2 linked regions of the Kluyveromyces lactis genome follow. Each later gene encodes a partner of the first gene's protein in a complex. Links are inferred from orthologs where the notes say so. Each region holds a gene or a part of one and is shown on either strand. Other genes may lie near its edges.

Region 1 (6,511 bases):
CCCGTCAAGGAAGTAACAGACGAGAATGTCAAAATGAGTGAAAATATGAATACGGCTGGAAAGCTCAATTTCAGTTCCAACAGAGGCATATTAAAAGAATTGAACATCAATACGACATAATGATGACAAACTGACAAACCTTAGCATGGTCGCTCGGCAGACCGATACAAAGACAATTGTAACACTATCCTGCGTACAGGAAAGACATCCACCTGTATATAGATATATCTATATATTCTTACTCTCCGCTTAACATTAGCTCGGACTATAAAAGCCATAACCTGTATTTCAAGATATCCTAGAAAAATGGACAGGATGATTCAATCATCACTTTGCACAAGCAAGCAGCTGTAAGACATATTATAATAAGTCTTGAGATAATGTAATTAATACGGAACGTATAGTGTTTTGATAGTTATACAAGAGATAATATAATGAAAAAAATTCTAAATTAAAGTTGGTATCACTAATTTAAAACATTTGTGCCTTGAAAGGTTGCAAGATTCCAAAGTAGAAACCAACCATTTTAAAAATAGAGAACTCATTCTCTTGTTTAAGCTCTTCTTCTACCAGTGGTCTTGGTATGTTGACCTCTGACACGCAAACCCCAGAAGTGTCTGATACCACGGTGAGATCTGATCTTCTTTAATCTTTCCAAGTCATCTCTCAACTTGGATTCCAAGTTGTTAGCCAAAGAGTGGTAGTCCTTACCATCATTGACATCCTTTTGTCTGTTCAAGAACCAAGCTGGGATCTTGTAGTGAGTTGGGTTTTGCATGATTTGGACAATTCTTTCCAATTCTTCTTGGGTCAATTCACCAGCTCTCTTGTGTAAATCAACATCAGCCTTCTTACAAACCAAGTTGGCGTATCTACGACCGACACCTCTGATGGTAGTCAAAGCGTAGACAACATTGATGTTACCATCAACGTTGGTGTTCAACAAACTGTAAAAATAATGGGAATAAAAATGTTAGTAAAATTTGATGATAGTCAATCTGAGGGCGACAACGGAGGAAAACCCATAAACACAAAATGCTTCTCCTTGCTTCGATTATGCAGTTTGGTACTTTGATTGTTTTCGATGCCTAAATCAACATAAAACTTTGGATGACCTAACGTAAAATGTCAGAAAGGAGATCCATTTTTGAGTTCAACATTCTGCATATTGTCTACTAACGGGCGTAAGCTTTTCAATTCGATTTGATCTTTGGAAAAATTGTGGGACCATCTATCTGGTGGTATTCCTTCTCATTTTCTTCACTTTAATAGTATAACATCATCACTAAATGATATACCGAATGTAACGCGCAATGCATGTTTTCATAAAGCTGTCTAATACCTTTCATCTCCTCGGAACTCTTTATAACCACGGTAGTGTTGTCTTGATAATACTCGTATTCATTGCCCTTGAACATATCTCATTTCAATTTCCTCGTTGTAATCCTCTTAAAACGTTTCTCATCTTAAAACATACCGCAAAATGTGTTGGAAGGAACCTTGTTCTTGAACAACTAGAGACATCTTTGCTTCTTACTCGTTCTGTTTCGAAAACGACTACCTAATAATAAAGTATCCGTTATTTAAATATAATAACACTAATATATCATTGTTAAGTAGCTTTTCACTAATTGAACACTATGATTTTGCAAAGGTTCAAAGGTTTCCCTCCATACAAACTTGCCATTCGGTAAAACCACTATAGAACGATTGTCTCACAACCGCACAAACCAGAACTGGACAGAGGCCCAGCATACTCTGTCACTGAGCAAGATCGGTCTAGTGGTGCATGTTCCCAGCCTAGGAGCAGAAGGTGTCGGTAGGAGAAGCAGAATCAGGGGGATGGAAATTCTGTCGGGGAGGAGAAACTGGAAAGAACCGAGGCGTCGGCACACCTAATGCCCTGTCTTTCCTTAGGCACGGAGAAAACTCAGCCCAAAGTCTGAAAAACGTTGGATGGGTTTCCTAATCAGGAAACTTGAAGGAAAGGAAAAATTAAACTATTATTCGGTTATAGGCGCATTGAAAATAATAAAATGCACGGGTGTATAAGGCTTCCGACAACAGTCCGAAATGGTTGCGTCTGTTTGTCCTCGATTTGGATTTTACAGCTTGATGATGGCCACAGCATTGGTCAATTGTCTTTACAAATACGGATGTCGCTAACTTAGATAAACAGCCGTGTAGCTATTTTCATTTTATTTGTGACGTTAATATACACACATACATATATATACAAGTTGTGGATGAGTTGGTGCAATGTGGAGTTTATTATTCGAAGCTTTTATTTTAACTCCCGTCTGATGATCAGTATCTCGTTCCATAATCAAACAACGTGAGTAACAGCCAGGTATTCTAAAGCTTCCAATTCAATAAAGATTCTGTGAGCCTTAAGTAGATCGTTGACATCAACAAATTCTTTTTGGACGATGTTAACTTTATCTTGGAATCTTTCTGTAAATGAAAATAATCCTGGCCTTGGTTCGTTAATAACGAATAATAGCTTCTTGTTCTGTAGCTCATAGTGCTTTAGGAATTTTTCGAACACGATATCGCCATCTTCTGAGCCCTCCCCGATGGGAAGAATTTCCAATTCATTTAGATCAGCCTGGCTTGTTTCGGAGATTCCGTCACCACTTCCGATGACGAAGACGTTACCGTTTCTGTATTGATGACTTAGTGCGTTATTGAATGCTAAAGAGTACACTTTCTTTGGGAGCGCTGTGGTATAATCATTTGGTGCAGTTCTTGCTAGAGCTCTACCACCGTTATGCCTTATTGGTGAATTAGCGTCACCAGCTCTGGCCATACCAGATCCCTTTTGTGGTAAAATCTTTCTTCTCGAATAACCAACATCACTTCTGCCTGGGGGGTTAGAAGACCCAACACGTTTACTGTCATTTTCGTAAACAACAGCACGCCATAGTAAGTCTCTTCTCAATGGAGCATCAAATACTGAGGTTGGCACTGGTGCAAATGTCAATGGTTCTAATGATGGGAATGAACGAACCGTTGCTAAGGTATATTTTGGCGGTAGACTAGCATTAGGAAGGGGTTTGTTGGAAACGTAACGGACCTGTAGAGAATAGGGAAAAGAGTAACAAAAAATTACGAGCAATAGTTAGTAAATCGATCTTCTAAAAGTAGGTGATATAACTGCTTAATGCGGAAGGATATCATCATGCAGTTTGAGGAAAGCCCGCGCTTTACCATTGCAACAGTGATGAAAATGGGTTTGACATACGTTTTTGCACAAATTCAAACCTTGTCTCTTGGAAAACATGGCTGATTCTGATACACTGACTTAATGTCTCGATACAAAGGGGATCAATTGGACACTCCTATGTCTGATCACCGCAAACAAATCAATCATCTTTAGTATTCAACCTATTTCATATTCAGATTTTTGATTATCGAAAATTTGTCTACCATGTAAAATATCCGGGTAATGTTAAATTGCCCGAATTAACGATCAACAAAACTGTCATCTTGTATGAAAGCATACAACGACATTAAGGGTCGCAGTTTATGGTAGTCCCGAATGTCATATGTAAGCGGATTCAATTTGCAGTAAAAAAAAATCCGATTTACGCTAGCAGAACAACAATTGTACTTGTCCTTTTGTTATTCATCGATGGTTATTTAAATGGAGGACTTTATTCTGACTGATTATATGAAAAAGAAATCAATATAACCAAAAAAATTCAAAAGCTTCAAGGCTCATCTCATCTCATCTCAGTATTATTTAGCATGAACAAAGCCAGTAGTCGTTTCCTTTGTCAGTAAGCGAGCGATACGAGTCTCCGTGATTACACTTTAATCAATACTTAACATAAAACTACCCAGAGTAAGGCGATGTCATCCAGAACAAGATATTACTTGGAACAATGTATTCCAGAAGTTGATGACTTAGTGCAGAAGAAGTTATTCACTAAGAATGAAGTAAACAAAATTATGAAGAAAAGGACTGATTTTGAACACAGATTGAGTTCGAGAGGTTCAAGTATAAGTGATTACATCAGATATATTGAATACGAGAAGAATGTCGATGCATTAAGAATGAAACGTGTTAAACGTATCTTGCAATCGAACAAATCAAATAGTATTTCGGATTTTACCATACAGCAGAGGATTCTCTATATTTTCCAAAGAGGCTGCAATAAGTTCCCAAAAAAATTGAAATTTTGGTCTTTATATTTGAATCATTTAAAATCAAAGGGTACAAATGCCTCTTATAAAAAGATTCAAAACGTCTACAATCAATTGCTCAAATTACATCCAACAAACGTTGACGTTTGGATATCATGTGCTAAATATGAATACGAATTGCACGCAAACTTCAAGAGCTGTAGAAATGTTTTTCAAACTGGTCTTAGATTTAATCCAGATGCTTCTAAACTCTGGTACGAGTACGTTAAATTCGAACTGAATTTCGTGACAAAATTGTTAAATAGAAGAAAAGTGATGAATTTAATCAACGAAAGGGAACAAGAGCTAGATATGCTACAACAGCAAGAGGAAGGAAGAAACTCCAGTAATGTAACAGGTCTGGAAGAAACTGCAGATGACGAAGCATACTTTGACAAAGACGGAATTCAACTTCCAAGTACTGGTGACAAGATGAAAGATAAACTAAACGAGTTACCAGAAGCCGATATGAATATGCTTGGATCAGAAGAAACTAATCCAGCACTACGTGGTGATGTCGCATTGGTTATATTCGATATCGCAATGAAGAATCTGGGCACATCTTTTGTCAAGAAACATCAAGGATACTACGCCGTTACCAATTCGCAAGTCGATGAAGAGCTCAGCAGAAACGTTATGTCCTACCTGTTTGATAGATGCCTCGAGTATATCAACTTATTTTCGGAATTTCAAGATTTAAAAAGAGAATATCTGATAAATCACGTATTGCAATGGCTAAAGGACGAACATTATAATATTTCCCTTGAGAAAAGTATGCCAGAAAAATATGTGGAATTATTATTGCATGATGTTACATTAAATATCAAATTCATGCCTGCCGGCGAATTAAACATCGACAGTCTCCAATTGTCCTTCAAAAAGTATTCTGCATACATCAGCAAATTAGATGAGACGAATGCCAAACAACTTACTACATTATATTCTGGTTATTTGACCCAACATCTATTATCCAATATGGATAAATCTGATTCGAAGTATGCTATTTTGAATGCTATTATCAAGAAACTGTAATGAGACACTGTATACACATTTTTATGTACATATTTGACATTAAGTAGTAAGGTAAGCAGTGGAGCCAATATTTCCACAGTTTTATAACTCTAATTAAACCCAATTCTGAGAAACGAAGAAATCATAGATTCTGTTGGCCTTCGTTGCCTCGATATTCAATAAATCACGACACTGTTTCTTCGAGAGTTGACCTGCAGTCCGTATTAATTCTCTGAATAGTACCTCTTTGATGGCAATGTAAGGCTTTGGCAAAATTTTCAACGTTATGCATAACTGCTGTTCCTCAGCTGATAATAATTGGAAATCTGCCCCATGCTGAATGTCACTGATAGTCATTAGTTTCTTACGTCCACTTCCTTCGTTATAATTTTGAGCATAATCAGCTTGCGATCTATGGGCCGAAGTAGCTCTATAACGGGCAGTGTTACTAGATGAAGAAGAAGAGTACACTTGACTTCCAAATCTTTCCAATGTCATAATTCTTGCTTGTTTATCACGTTCATATTTAAGACCAGCTTCCAAAGTAGTGATACCGTTGCTCCTCCATTCTTGCAATTGATGAATTCTTGTTCGACACCGAAGTTCTTCCAATATGTCTTTGCTGAATTCTTCAAAATCCAGCGGGGACATGATTCTTGCGAAAGCCTTAATTTTGTTGTACAAATCTTTGGTTTCTTTTGAACGCTTCTTATCGAGACTTTGTAGTCTCCTGTATTCCATCAGACAATTGTCAAACAACAAACGCTTCTTTTCTGCTCTAGTCGTCAATCTCGAGTTGTAGATGTCAAGAATAGCCAACTTCACTTCAATATCTAACGGTTGATCATCGGCGTCGAAGACCATATCTTTGACCGGACCTTCGGCCTCATTCTCGAACTCCGTTTCGAATTCCAATCTACCTGGCATAAACCCTTGCACTTCATGGCATGACGGTTGTGATGCCATCGGTTTCCTAGGAGGTTCCAAAGGCCTTTCCCTAAATCTTTCCATGCGTTTCTTTCTTTTCTCCAAAAATTGTTCTTGCGGTTCATTAATGTCTTTTGTGATATCTGGAATAGGATAGTGTTCACTGTTCAAGTAAAACTTCAAATAATGATCATAAACTTCTTCCTTATCTCTAGATCCGATATGATCCGCAATATCTTGCCAGTTACCTAATCCCAGTGTCTGGGCTCCTTTTATCAACAGTAACTCTTCATCAGCGCCCCAATCCTCACAGAGAATCGGGTATGAGTTGGTTTCAATCACTTTATAGTCATGGCTTGGCCGGTGCTTACCGTTGTATAACCCT
Region 2 (3,538 bases), on another chromosome or scaffold:
TGCAAACTTTGCTTTGTTTCAAGTCCTGTCGAAGTTGAGCAATCTCTTCGTTCACTTTACTCATCTCCAATTTTGCATCTTGTATTTTTTGGGTAAGTTGATCTTTTTTAGTGGTCAGCTGGTTCAAGTCTGACACCTTTAGCATGTTCTCCCTCAAGTCTCCTTTCAATTTGTTCACTTTCAGGAGAGTCGTTATGTTCTCTTTCTTGTTACTAAAAACATCGTTGTGCTGCCGAAGAACATCAAGTTCTTTCATTAACACCTGTTTGATGTCACTAACTCTTATTTTCACGTCATTTATTTCATTCATGTATTTCATGATCTGGGCATTTTCATCCACCAAGATAGCTATATTTTCTTCCAGGACTGTTTTAATTCCTTTCAAATGTTGTGATCTCCACTCAAACCAGACTTTTTCAGATTGTAATCTAGCCATTATGGTTACTAATTCTAACTTTTCGTTAATAGCATAACGGGTATCAGTATCTGCCTCAAAATACTCTTTTATCAACCTGGGGGGTTCGTTGGATGCAATCTGCTCTCGAAGACTCTTTAAGAGATTCCTTGATTGTAGAATTCTTCGGGTTAGTTCTTTTGCGGTGAAAGCTTGAATCTCTAATATTGGAATCTTACAATATAACGCTTGGTATATTATATTAGATGGGACATGTTCGATGTTATTCGTACTCTTAAGATCGATTTGAAATTCGTTTATTTGGGTATCAACGTTGAATTTTATATTAGCAGCATCAAAAAATGTCTGCAAGGAGATTGGTCCCGATTGACTTTGAGTGTCTGATAGAACATGTTTACTTGTTTTGGATAGTATGGGAGAGCCGACATTTTTTGGTTTTGGTAAAGAATTTGTTGCCAACGGAATTGGCGATAATCGTTCCATCTCTGTGAGCTCCGCATCTATATTCTCTTTTTGTTCAGGGGTCTCTTGCACTTGCACTGGTACCTGCAATTTGACCGGAGACTGATAACCACCGTTAGATAATTTCCTTCTTTTTGACTGCGGGAGTTGAGTTGGTTCTAGTTGAGTTGAAGAAACTATCTGTGACTCTCGCATCTCCAGAGGAGCCTGCACGTTTGTAAATTCCATTGTTTCCTCTGTAATTGCTGGTATCTTAGGTAATTTGAAAGCAGATTCTGAATCTGCATCTAGCGTAGGTTTTTCTGCATCCATCCGTATTTGGTCAGTTATTTCCATAGACTCTTCTTCGTTAAAGCGGCGTTTCTGCGGTTCTGTAAGGTCCATTGTTTCCTCCAAAACTTGGTCTTCGTTACCATTCTCTTCTTCTTCTTCCGCAGCAGTAGAGGTTTCTTGCGGTACCACATTATCGTCTGGTTTAGCGCTATGTTTTGCAAATAACTGTGTTATATCCATTGAAACCTCTTTGTCGAACACAGGTTGGTACCCATCATTTTTCGGTTCGCTTGGAGACTCCAATTTTTGGAATATTGAACCTATCGGACTAGTAAATTCCATTGTTTCTCCAGAATTGTCGTTATCATTTTTGGTATCGGCCATAGAGGCTTCAGCTACTGCCACTTCCAATTTTAAAGCGGATTTCCTTCGAGGTTCCCTTACATTTTGAATCGATTGTGGTATGAATTCGAACTTGTGCAAAGTCACATCTGGTGCAAAGGACACACGGCGATTTCCCTTCGAAATCGCAGCACTGATCCGGGATGTCGTATTGTTTCCGTCCAGTATATCTTCTTTGGTAATTCCCTCAGTAGGAAACTGTATCTGGGACATAGTCAAATTATGACTGGTGTTAGTTGTATCATCATCCTTAAATTTTTGCTTAAGGATACTTCTCGGAAGCAAAGACAATCGTTTTGGATCTGTCATATGAAGCGAGACTATCAACACAGGGTGAAATATGATAATAAATGGAAACTTAACCTAAATATTAGTCCTTAAGTTTATGATGATTCGGTATTTGTGTGTCAATATATTGATCTAAAATTCGATTGTTTACGTTTTCGAAGTTCAATGTTTTCGATTCAGAGCGCTGCTGCACATACAGTGAGAACCGAGAAAAAGGATAAAACAACTGCCTTGAAGAGTCTCTTAGAAAGGATGGGTGTACTTCATCAATTATTTATTTGTTAGTGATTCGAAACGGTCTTCAGATTTGCCCAAAGATGTTCACTAGATGAGGATGTTCAAGATCTCAGGTCATAACCATCACGTGCTATAGTCCGGGTAAATATCTTAATCTCCATTGAAACTATTTTGAAAAATTATCGAAGGCCTTTTCATGGTAGATCATCAGCTATAGAGGGCATGTTCAGTCGGTGTGATGCCTTATTGACGATTGTGGACTCCATTAGTACGTTTCAAGACCGTGGGTGATATCAAAAACTGAAAACTCTTCACAGGTATAACTCTGGAGCCCGATATAATATAAAGAGAGGGAAATACATACATAATGAGCACACTTTTCGGAAGTACGATGTTGAACTCGTTGACAAGACTGACAAGGCCAGCTGTGAAAAGTATCAATATGCTATCTATGCCAATGATGGGTCTTATGAACCCTCCTTTGACCAGAGGTTTTAAGGTAAGAACTTCCATCAAGAAGTTCTGTAACGATTGTTACATGGTTAGACGTAAGGGCAGAGTGTACGTTTACTGTAAGTCCAATAAGAAGCATAAACAACGTCAAGGTTGAATTACAATCGCCCTCCCATTCGTCCCAATCTTTCATGTATATAGATAAGTCATAATGGAGGATGTGTTCTTTTCTTGAATGTGGAAAAATGCAGCCTTCTTTCTATAAATAATTTCCATTCTATACTAATAAACTGGTTTTAAATATATAAAATTCTGAAGTTTAGATGGTTAGATATTATTCATCTCGCCAACAGGAAAGTCCTAATCCTCCTATTAATATAAGTGTTTTCTGGACGTTTGGTAACGTAACTATATCACTGGAACCGGTATCTGCTACTGTGGTATATTTGCTCTCCGTTATTTTCAGTTTGTCATTCGTAATGTCCCTAATTCTTATGACCTGGTCCACTGATGTAGCCAATAATTTTGTGTCATTATCTAACAGATTCACTGATGTTACTGTTGATGAAGCAGCATACGAATCGTGATCTAGTATTTCGGCTTTCATCGTGTAGTTGTCATTGTTCGTAAATTTAGTGATGGCTACAGCATTGTCATCACCCCCAGAATATACTTTGAATGAATCCGAAGACTTGTCAAGCTTCACGTCGAGTGATTTGATACCTGCTGTGTGTACCAGGATTTTTTCGGACCAGTTTTGTAATTGTTTTGTTTCCAATTTGAGGCCCCTGTCAAAAAGCTCATTATTCCTTATCTCGAACGGAACGGAATTAGTGATGTCCCATGTAATTAAATGACCATCTGTTGGTGCAATCAGAAGTTTCAAGCAATTCTGTAACGGAATGAAAGCAACGTTCCAGATACAACAGGTTTCATATCTTCCATCTATGATCAAGGTGAAAGAATTTTGCTCGTTAAAGTAGTGCCATACTTTCACTGAACTGTCAC

What was found.
Region 2: YML6 (region 1) and RTC6 share a complex: the UniProt entries of both Saccharomyces cerevisiae proteins name them as parts of the mitochondrial large ribosomal subunit. The link is inferred for Kluyveromyces lactis from reciprocal best matches to the Saccharomyces cerevisiae genes YML6 and RTC6.

Annotation. Positions count from the first base shown.
Region 1 is NC_006038.1:118,636-125,146, reverse strand, and holds YML6 (mitochondrial 54S ribosomal protein uL4m), read right to left. Parts: upstream 3,284-6,511; coding exon 3,245-3,283; intron 3,077-3,244; coding exon 2,327-3,076; downstream 1-2,326. Other genes in the region: YHP1 (Yhp1p), read left to right, coding at 1-120; RPS18A (40S ribosomal protein uS13), read right to left, coding at 554-947, 1,478-1,524; snoRNA-binding rRNA-processing protein UTP6, read left to right, coding at 3,856-5,220; chromatin-binding transcription regulator ADA2, read right to left, coding at 5,314-6,511. UniProt on the Saccharomyces cerevisiae protein: Component of the mitochondrial ribosome (mitoribosome), a dedicated translation machinery responsible for the synthesis of mitochondrial genome-encoded proteins, including at least some of the essential transmembrane subunits of the mitochondrial respiratory chain.
Region 2 is NC_006041.1:1,683,074-1,686,611, reverse strand, and holds RTC6 (mitochondrial 54S ribosomal protein bL36m), read left to right. Parts: upstream 1-2,444; coding exon 2,445-2,687; downstream 2,688-3,538. Other genes in the region: kinetochore-microtubule binding complex subunit SPC105, read right to left, coding at 1-1,861; tRNA (34-2'-O)-methyltransferase regulator RTT10, read right to left, coding at 2,865-3,538. UniProt on the Saccharomyces cerevisiae protein: Component of the mitochondrial ribosome (mitoribosome), a dedicated translation machinery responsible for the synthesis of mitochondrial genome-encoded proteins, including at least some of the essential transmembrane subunits of the mitochondrial respiratory chain.